Linked DNA regions of Canis lupus familiaris. Each later gene encodes a partner of the first gene's protein in a complex. Links are inferred from orthologs where the notes say so. Each region holds a gene or a part of one and is shown on either strand. Other genes may lie near its edges.

What was found. The genes of interacting proteins can lie anywhere in the genome.
Region 2: the proteins of ARMC8 (region 1) and RANBP9 are in contact, whole or in part, in a cryo-EM structure (PDB 7NSC), measured with the Homo sapiens proteins. The link is inferred for Canis lupus familiaris from reciprocal best matches to the Homo sapiens genes ARMC8 and RANBP9. Residues at the interface, in NP_001350870.1 of Homo sapiens: Gln245, Arg246, Asp247, Val277, Leu278, Lys279, Ile317, Ile320, Thr321, Asp322, His323; in NP_005484.2 of Homo sapiens: Tyr271, Gly298, His299, Ser300, Leu301, Gly302, Ile303, Asp337, Asp340, Tyr341, Arg343, Glu344, Thr347.

Annotation. Positions count from the first base shown.
Region 1 is NC_049244.1:34,938,193-34,943,674, reverse strand, and holds the start of ARMC8 (armadillo repeat-containing protein 8), read right to left. Parts: upstream 3,760-5,482; 5' UTR 3,511-3,759; coding exon 3,466-3,510; intron 1-3,465. UniProt on the Homo sapiens protein: Component of the CTLH E3 ubiquitin-protein ligase complex that selectively accepts ubiquitin from UBE2H and mediates ubiquitination and subsequent proteasomal degradation of the transcription factor HBP1.
Region 2 is NC_049256.1:14,383,695-14,388,521, reverse strand, and holds part of RANBP9 (ran-binding protein 9), read left to right. Parts: intron 1-2,331; coding exon 2,332-2,444; intron 2,445-3,782; coding exon 3,783-3,891; intron 3,892-4,827. UniProt on the Homo sapiens protein: May act as scaffolding protein, and as adapter protein to couple membrane receptors to intracellular signaling pathways. Acts as a mediator of cell spreading and actin cytoskeleton rearrangement.

The DNA of each region.
Region 1 (5,482 bases):
GAAGACATATAAATAGACAACAGACACATGATCACTCGGCATCAGGCAAATACAAATCGAAACCACAATGAGATACCACCTCACACCAGTCAGAATGGCTAAAATAAATAAAGTCAGGAAATGACAGATGTTGGCGAGGATGCAGAAAAGGGGGAACCCTCTTACACTGTTGGTAGTAATGCAAACTGGTACAGCCACTCTGGAAAACAGTAGGAAGGCTCCTCAAAAATTTGAAAATAGAGCTACCCTATGACCCAGCAATTGCACTGCTGGGTATTTATTTACCCCAAAGATACAAATGTAGTGATGTGAAGGGGCACCTGCACCCCAATATTTATAGCAGCAACGTCTACAATAGCCAAACTGTGGAAAGAGCCCAGATGTCCATCTACAGATGAATGGATAAAGAATGGCATATATACACACAATAGACTACTACTCAGTCATGAAAGAAAAGAAAGAAAAGAAAAAAAGAAAGAAAAGAAAGAAAGAAAGAAAGAAGAAAGAAAGAAAGAAAGAAAGAAAGAAAGAAAGAAAGAAAGAAAGAAAGAAAGAAAGAAAGAAAGAAAGAAAAAAGCCTGGCCATTTTCAACGATGTGGGTGGAACTAAAGGATATTAAGCTAAGTGCAGTAAGTCAATCAGAGAAAGACAATTATATGATCTCACTCATACCTAGAATTTAAGAAACAAAACAGGATCATAAGGAGGAAAGAGGAAAAAATAAAACAAGATGAAATCAGAGAGACAGACAAACCATAAAGAGATTCTTAATAAGAAACGAACTGTGAGTTGCTGGAGGGGAGAGGGACAGGGTGATGGGGTAACTGGGAGATGAATATTAATGAGGGCATGTAATGAGCGCTGGGTATTATATAAGACTGATGAATCTCTAACCGCTACCTCTGAAACCAATAATACAATTCAATAATTTATTTAAATTCAATGATAATTCATTGAATGATAATATAGATACTAATGGGAAAAAAATAGATACTAGAGGGAAAAAAAGTCTTAGGTAACATCCACGCAATTGAAGATGTGAGACTAGGTGGGAAAAAGTCAAGGTTGGCAAGGTAATCTATGAGTTGATCACAGTTAAGGTTGTAAGAGTGAAGAGATCTCTCATGGGGAGAAGGTACAAAGGGCCTTGAATGAAACCTTTAAAGGCATTTGATTTGCCCCTTGCTTGAACTATGTTTATTGGACTGTGGGCTCCTTCAGACTGTACGATCCCTGAGGGCATATCTGATCTCATCCTTGCATTCCCTAAAAGTATCCATTACAGTTTTGTACATAACTGGTGCACAGTAAGCAGCCTATATTAAAGGAATCAATTATTTCAAGGTAATTTCTGATTAATATTTCCTGTTCCACCTGCACTCTGTATTTCAAAAGGTTGTGCCACAGTGGTGTCTGATTTTCCAAGGCTCTGTAACTGGTGAACTGACAAACAAGGCATTGGGACTGTGAAAATAAATTAGCCTTCGGTGACATTAGAACTAAAGCAAATCCCCAGAAGAAGTAGGGAATACTCTTCAAGAAGTTTCTGCATAGAATTAAACAGGAGGGATCCCTGGGTGGTGCAGCGGTTTAGCGCCTGCCTTTGGCCCGGGGCGCGATCCTGGAGACCCGGGATCGAGTCCCACATCGGGCGCCCGGTGCATGGAGCCTGCTTCTCCCTCTGCCTGTGTCTCTGCCTCTCTCTCTCTGTGTGACTATCATAAAAAAAAAAAAAAAAAAAAGAATTAAACAGGAAATGTTTTTACTCAGGGAGTGAAACAAATGAAAATTTTCAACTGTAGACACGACACAAGTTAACAGTGTACAAAAAGTAAAGCTTCAGGTGAAATAAAGGATATACATGGGCAGCCCGGGTGGCTCAGCGGTTTAGTGCCACCTTCAGCCCAGGGCGTGATCCTGGGGACCTAGGATCGAGTCCCACATCGGGCTCCCTGCGTGGAGCCGCTTCTCCCTCTGCCTGTGTCTCTACCTCTCTCTCTGTCTCTCATGAATAAATAAATAAAACGTTAAAAAAAAAAAAAAAGGATAAACAAGATAATTAAAGGGAATTGAGGACAGTTGAGAGGCATACTTTAAAAAAAAAAAAAGAAACATGAGGGAAAAGTCATTCACCTGCTCTCCCACAAAATATTACAGAGGTAGAATAAAAGACAAACCTTAAAAAAAAAAAAAAAGGCGAACCTGATTCAATACCTAGATGAACAGTGTTTCCCCCATTGCTGTATAAAATAAGGAAAAGGACTGCTAAAACCCATCAGGAGGCAAATCTGCTGACAGCCCCCATCCCCCCAAATTAAATGATCTAGGTTCTGGTATGCCACAGCGTTCTAACCCTGAATCACAGCTAATGCCCTAAGGGCTTCCAGATAGGTGAATCAATGGGGGAAGTCAGGGGAGAGAAAAGAAATGCGCTGGAGTCACAGATTCTAGGAACCTGACAAATCGAAGCATCTGTAATCCAACCACCCTCTCAGAATCAGACAGCTTTCCCCAAGTCTAAAAGATGGCCAACCAGTCTTTGCCTATTTACAACAACAGCAGATGGACCATTGGTAGGTAAAGTGACTCTTGTCTGAGCTGGACAGCTCTAAATCGTAGTAAAAATCCTCTGGAGTTATTCCTCAGTAACTTTCACTCCGGGTCCTGGTTCTCAAGAGCCATAGAGTGAAAAGTGAAAGTTGTATTTCGGATTTAATTTGAAGAAAAAAACAAAACAGAACAAACAACTAGGTATTACTTCCTGGCGAGTCAATACATTCCCTTCTTTCAATAGTAGTAGGAAAATTTTAATTTTTTCTTTTTCTCAGCGTTTGACTCCCCTTAAAAGAAAAAGAAAAAAAAAAAAAAGTAATGCCAGGCACGGGTTCCTTTAGACTCGGAGCTGCGACCTCCAGAGCAGAGGGGCTCAAATAACTACACACGCTGCAGCTGACGTGAAATCCCCGTTGCCAAGAAGCAAGCGGTTCTAGCCCGAGCCTGGCCGCTCGCAGGCTGTGGGGGCCGAAGTGCCTGCACCCTCGTTGCCAACGCCGCGGGGGGGCTGGACGGGCGCTCCCTCCCAGGCCAGGAGCAAGCCCCGCGCCCCACAGGGTACCGCGCTCGGCCCGGAGAAGCGGCAACGCTAACAGGAAGGTTCAGCGAAGCACCTGGCAAGACCCAAGCCGAGCCGCCGGACCAGCCGCCCGTATGCCCAACCACCCCGTCCGCCAGAGGCCACCTGAGCAACGGCACCGGTGGGCGCTCCCGGAGTTGGACGTTTCTGGCTCGGTCGGGGTCCCGGTCTATTCCTCCCGCCCACCCTCTCTCTCCCCACGGCCCACAGCTGAGCCGGAAGCCACCCCAAGGGGTGGTGTTCCAGGAGGCACTCCATGTTTGGGGTGAGTGTTGCGGGCCGGCCCGAGCTCTCGAGCTGGCGGGCGGCTGCGGCTGCGGCGGTCACTCACCGAGAGGACGCTCATGCGGATTGGGGTCTCCAACAGGCACGCCATCTTGAGCCTTCCCACCCGGCTACGGCCGGTGCCGGCGCGGGGGCCGGCACTTTCGACAGGGAACTACTGGGCCAACGACAGGCACCTTCTGCGGAGAGACAGGCAGACAGACGAGAACACACCACACTCTAGGCACAGCTGAAGTACGACCAGGGCCCGCAGAGGGGAGAGAAAAGGAAAACCGCGCCAAGCGTCTCCTGACGAATCGTCTTCTCAGAAACGGCAGCTACTCTCAGCCTGGGTTAGAGGTGGGAGCGGGCAGCAGTTTCCGCATGCGCAAAGAAGATCTGCCGGCCCCACCTGCCGCTCGCGGTGGGCGGAGCCACAGGGGCGGGGTCTCGCTCTTGGAGCTGCAAACTTGACGGGCTGAGTCGTTACAATGCAGCTCACCTATTCACATGATAGAGACTAGTGTGTGGAGTCACATATGTAATTTGAAGTTCACGTTCCTATACATTATCTCGCTCCTTTGCAGCAGGTTCCTAGCGTGGTTATCGCCATTTTACAGATGAAGGGACTGTGGTCTCCGAACCAGGTCTTCGGCGTAATCTGCTCGACCCATTAATTCTGGTGTAGTGTTAAGAATAGATACTCTGGAGCCAGAACGCCTGGGTTAGTCTTTGCTACTTCACTTATCAGTTGCATTACGTCCAGCCAAGTTACTTAACCTCCCTATGCTTCAGCTTTCTCTTCTATAAAATAGGGGTTATGAGAACGGGAAACTAAAGGTCTTTAGAACATGACTGGAATGTAGAAAGCGTTATATATATGTTACTATTTCCTCAGTCTCTGAGTCAAATAGAAAAAAAGGGGGACAAATATCTGAGAATTAACACTAAAGCACTCTGATAACTGAAGCCAAATAAAAACATGCTTCTAATGATATTTTCTCATTAATTCAGCTTTCCCACTCCATGTGTGTGTCTATGGGTGTGGTGTGTATGTGTGTGTATAAAACAGCCCTGGACTTGGCTGGACAGGTTTCACCTTCCTGCTGTCTATAACCAGTCAGTTTTCATAGAGTGGTTGCAATAAGCCTGTTTCATTACTTGTTTTTTTCTATTTTTATGGCCACTCCTTAATCAGGCTGTTACTACCTCTCCCCTGCCCTAGAGCAATAGCCTTCCAACTGATCTTGTAGCCTCTAACCTTTTCACTTTGCTCCTCACTGCTTTCTATTCTAGAAAGTTCCCCTTAAGCCACTTTGCTTTTAGCAAAGCCCTACGTTAGAATCTGTTTTTGCTAACCAAAGAAACCCAAAGAGAATTTTTGCTTTTATGAAAAAAAGGTAGTGAATGAAAATAGCAGTGTGTGTTTTGCAGTGAGCCTTTATAAGGCACCTGTCAACCACAGGCAGCAGGGGAGAGTGGCATCCCCAAGCTCTTCCTCTGGGAACTACATTCAGCATCTCAGCATCAAGCCACCCATAGCTTTGAACTGTATCTGTGAGCATCTGTGCTTTATCTCCATTTATTTTGTACATCTGTTAGTAAGATATGGCCTAAGGTATCAGAAATGCCTAAAAGAGGTTATTTTTCAGCTCTGGGAAGGCTCAAAAATGTTTCCATATAAAGTTATGGTATTCCTTCTTCACTTTATGCCATTTTAGTTTAGAAAGTTTTAATAAGAACACCCTAGCATTAAACAGCATAAAGAAAAAACAAATGTATATGTATCTGTTAATATAGCTGTTTTGTGTCTTTAAATAAATTCTTAGATGTTAAAAAAAAAGAACACTCTAATTTTGCTTTGTGGGGGAAACCTGTACTTGGTTTTCAAATTTATTGTAGCCCTAATCATCCTTCCTCATGGCTCTGTCTTCCCAAACTGTTGAGTTTCTAGAAAGCAGGAATTTCACTTCAGATTTTTCCTTCTGCAGTATTCTCCAAACTTCAGTAATCTGCATACCACCCATGCAAACTTTGTCATCTGAACCTGGGTGTTGTTATTCACTCAGTATTTTTCTTTAAAG
Region 2 (4,827 bases), on another chromosome or scaffold:
TTCCATAGGTTACTTGATTCTTTTATTATTAGTGTTAATGCAAAGATAAATTCAGGAAGATAGTTTAGATTGTGTAACTCGGGAACTGTGGGTTTCGGACATGAACTTGGCTGTGTTCAGCGGTAGTTCAAATATGTATAGGGGAAAAGAAATATTACTCAGTAGGAATAAGCATCAAAATAATGGTATAGTTAATGTACTGGAATACAGACTTGTGTGTATATTTTGTATTTCAAGATTTGACTCAAGTTTTCCAGTGAATTGGGTCACTCTAAGAATAATTTCAGCTACTATTGGTTATTAGGATCCCTTTTTTGTGAAATCTATTTATTTTTCATGTAGATTCCATTAGATTATAGTTGTCTTCATTCTATATAGGGAAATCTGACCACAAGCCTCCAGTTGAAGGAGTTTTTAAATCTTACTAATTATTTTAATATATTATTATTAGACATTTAAGAGACAGCAAAAGGAGTAAAAGACCAAATAGGAACATGGAGTGAGGATTCCTAAAAGCAGGATAAATACTTAGGATTTCATGATAACGATGGTACAGAATGGGTAGGTGATACCAGAGCAAACAGTGGGTATCAATAAAAGTATATTGTAAAATGAACAACCTTTATTTCAACTTGTTCTTTATGGAAAAGTAGAATTTCATTGGAATGGAAGTCAGCAGGAAAACGTAAGTCCTATGATAGTCAACTCTTTAGATTATACCTTTGCTAAAAGGCTGGAGATGATGCCTGGGTGTCAGTAGTACTCAGTGGTAGCTCTTAAAGCTTGAAATAGTGCAGACCTAAAAATCAAATAAGTACAAGTAAATTTAAATAGTCATTTTCCCTGCTGTCATCTCATCAAAGAAAATAGCAGAGACTTTCAGATACCATGAATCTAACAATTTGTCCTAAATGTCTGTGTAATTGCTTTGAACAGTTGTACATTTAAAGATATAATAAATCTTTGTGTGTGTTTTTTGGAGGAGATAATGATTGGAAGACATGATGGTGATTCTGAAAACATGCTTCTTCCCTGGAGCTATTATCATCTGGTATCACAGAGCCTCTGCACTGGTACTTTTTGCCAGCACAGCTGACAGAACAGCAAAGCCTGGCTGAAAACCTCATAGTTCCATGAGTTAGAGTGACGATAAGTTGCTCTCCTGGGGTCACCTCCCCTTCGCACTTTAAAAATGGTTGCCACTGAGGATCATAGCAGGATCGTAGTAGAGGAAGCCTCATTTAACTTAATTCTGTAACCAGAGTCCAGTGAGGGCCACCACCCCATTCTTTCTAAAACTGACACTCACCGTGACCTCCTAGGAAGTCCATTTTAAAAAGTTCTTTCCTACTTTTGTAAATCATTTTGACCAATTAGATGAAGTAAAATGCAAAATCTGTTTCTTGGAGATTTTCCCTGCTGCCCCCTCCATCCCTCTTCACTGCTTCCTACCATTTTCTGATAGGGTGTTAGTAGTGCCAGATGGCGGCAGGTTTAGGAGTTGAATATTTGGATATATTGGATATTTGGGTTAATATTGTTGAGTCAGTAGTTTTCTTTAACCTTTTTTTTTTTTTTTAAGTTTTCTTTAACCTTTTGCAGTTAGATGTAAATGTGTTTTGACCACTTGATGACTTTGAAAAACAACAAACTTGTTCTTTGAAAGCATGGCACTTCCATGTAAATCACGTTTGAGTAACTAATCTTTCATGTACAGTAATACTGATTTGGATCAGAAGGGCTGTTTTTCGTGAGTTAGTATTATCACCCTCATAGACTTTGTTCTGAAAAAGCCTCTCTCCCGTTCACCTGTGTTCACCTCTTGGAGATCCTATCCCATGCAACTGATGAGAAAAGAAAGGAATTGAACTCCATAACACCAAAGAGTTATTAATCTGTTATTTAAAAAGTGTTGTGTTTTAGAAAATGCCAGCACTTCACTAGGATAAGTTGTATAATTAAAGGTGAAACAGAAATTATGGTTAGGAGGATTGAATATTGAATATAAGGATGGGAAGTGACAGGAAAGGACCCTGGGGATAATGGGGAACCAAGAATCAAGAGTCTGTCAGGGATTCTTCTCTTGTGACAGTTATTCTTAGGGAGAGTACTCTTAACATGGCATTTGCGGTTCTCTTTTTGGAAATACTACATGACTAGAACAAAATGATTCTTTTTTTAACTGATTTTAAAGTTGAGGTCCTTAAAGCCTTATTTTAAGGGAATAGGTTGGTTTTGTAACAACAGAGTAGATCTTGTTTTATGTAAGTTGTAGTATGAAGCCTGTATTCTCTTGACTAAAAGATGTGTGTTTCTTCTTTTTATTTTAAGAATGGTTTCATCTTATTTAGTCCACCATGGGTACTGTGCCACAGCAGAGGCCTTTGCCAGATCTACAGACCAGACCGTTCTAGAAGAATTAGCTTCCATTAAGAATAGACAAAGTAAGGACCCTGTGGTGCATGGATAACACTTGTTTTCAGATTATAGGTTTGATTTTGTTGATTTTTAGAAATTATATTTTTTAATTTAAAAAATTTTCAAATATATTAACTTAAAATTGATGCCTCTGAAATTAATCTTCATTGACATTTTTGAAGACCAATTTAAAAAACACTCACATTAAGACTGTGTTAGCATTCTGGATATAGAAAGATATTTTGGAGATAGTTTTATAAGAAATGTTTACCTTTTTTTTTTTTCCCCTTAAATGTTTGCTTTAGATTTTGGGAAGTAAACATTTAACAAAAAATTTTTTAGTAGGTAATGTGGTCCCATGATTAGATACTGGTGAAGATAATATGTAAAAGAAATATTAATCTTTGCATTTGAATTGCTATCTAAACTTAAGATAGTATTGATCTTAAATTTTAATTCTTGGGTCCCAGTACTCTGGCCAGAGCTGTCGGGCCTGTTCTACCAAGGGCAAGTCAGCATGTCACTCCTCCACAGTTAGCCTTCCTAAATGCGGTGCAGTTAGTCCATTAGGGAGGGGATGACTTGGTGAGAGGATAGGCATCAAAATACAGGTGATGGGTGAAATCATGATGCTTGGAAACAATTTTTTTTATAGGTCAAATTTGCTATAATAACACTAATTACATTGTGTTGTTAACTAATCATAGGCTTGTCTGTCTTTCTTACTATGCTCTGAGCTCTGGCAAACAGGAGACAATCACTTACTCTGTGCATCCTCGTCATCTAATTTAACAAATATCCAACACACAGGGAACACTCAGTCTATATCTGGGGAATTCAGGTCTTACTCAAAAGCCAGTGTTCTCTTAGTACTGGGAGCTAAAGGTTATTGTATTTGATAAGACATTCTGAATATTATCTCTAATGTTTGCTATGATCTTTAAAAAATACACTTCACTGAAGTATAATTGACATATTAATAGCTGTACCTGTTTAGTGTGTGTGACTTGATGAGATTGGGAAAAGTATTCTTGAACCCAGCACCACATTCTAGGCATTTATAGAAACACATCCATCTTTTTAATCTTAGAGGTTAATATTTCAGTATTGCTTAACAGGTGTTTTTCCTGTATTACCTGTATATTTGTGATTTTTAAAAATAGTTTTATGAAGTACTTATTTTTCTAATTTTTAGTATGTATGAAATTTCTTCTTGATTGCCTAATAGGAACTAGATTTTAGAAAAATGAAAGTTAATTGCAATAATTTATTTAAAGTTGTTTTTTTTACTAACTTTTTTTTGAGGACCCACTATTTTGTTTCTACTCAAAAAAATCAATCTCTTGTTTTCTTTTTCTAAATAGGAATTCAGAAATTGGTGTTAGCAGGGAGAATGGGAGAAGCCATTGAAACAACACAACAGTTATACCCAAGTTTACTTGAAAGAAATCCTAATCTTCTTTTCACATTAAAGTAAGTTTAATAAAATGTTACTGTATTATGTGTGTGTTACATATAATCAGAATTATTGTCATGCTTTAATAGTTTTAATTTTTGTTTCACCTTTTTTCAGATATTTACATACAATTTTGTAATATAGCACATTCAAGTAACAGATTATATATATAAAAAAAAACCACTTGTGTTGATTATAAGCAGATAGGATCTTTTCCTGTGTGTTTGCTCTTCTATTATGCTAGCTGTTATGTTCAGAAATGTTAAAATCTTAATTATGAGATGGATATCCATTTTTCTTCCTGGAAAGTACCTTATTGTAAGTCTGTGTGATTTTGAAAATTGGTAAAATGTACATAACATAAAATTTGTCATTTTTACATGCACAGTTCTATGGTATTAAGTATAGTCACACTGTTCTGCATTTGTCAGCAACCAGCCATCTCCAGAACTTTTTTTCGTTATCCCCAGAGAAACGAACTCCCCATTTCTCCCTATACCCAGCTCCTAGCAACCACCATTTTACTTTTCTGTCTCTGTGAAATTGAATTTGACTACCCTGGGTACCTCATCTAAGTGGAGTCATAACATATTTGTTCTTTGTTACTAGCTTATTCCTAATAGCAACATGTCCTCAAAATTCATTCATGTTACAGCATATGTCAGAATTTCTTTCATTTCAAAGGCTGAATAACTGATAGACATTTGGGTTGCTTCCACTTTGGTTATTGTGAATAATGCTGCCATGAACAGGAGTGTACAAATATCCACTGGAGTCCCTGTTTCCAGTTCTTTAGGGTATATACCCAGAAATAGAATTGTTGGGTGTATATATATATTTCATATATATACACACACACACACACACAATATATATATACACACACACCCACACACACACTGTGTATATACTTACATATACCTTGTGTGTGTGTGTGTGTATATATATATATA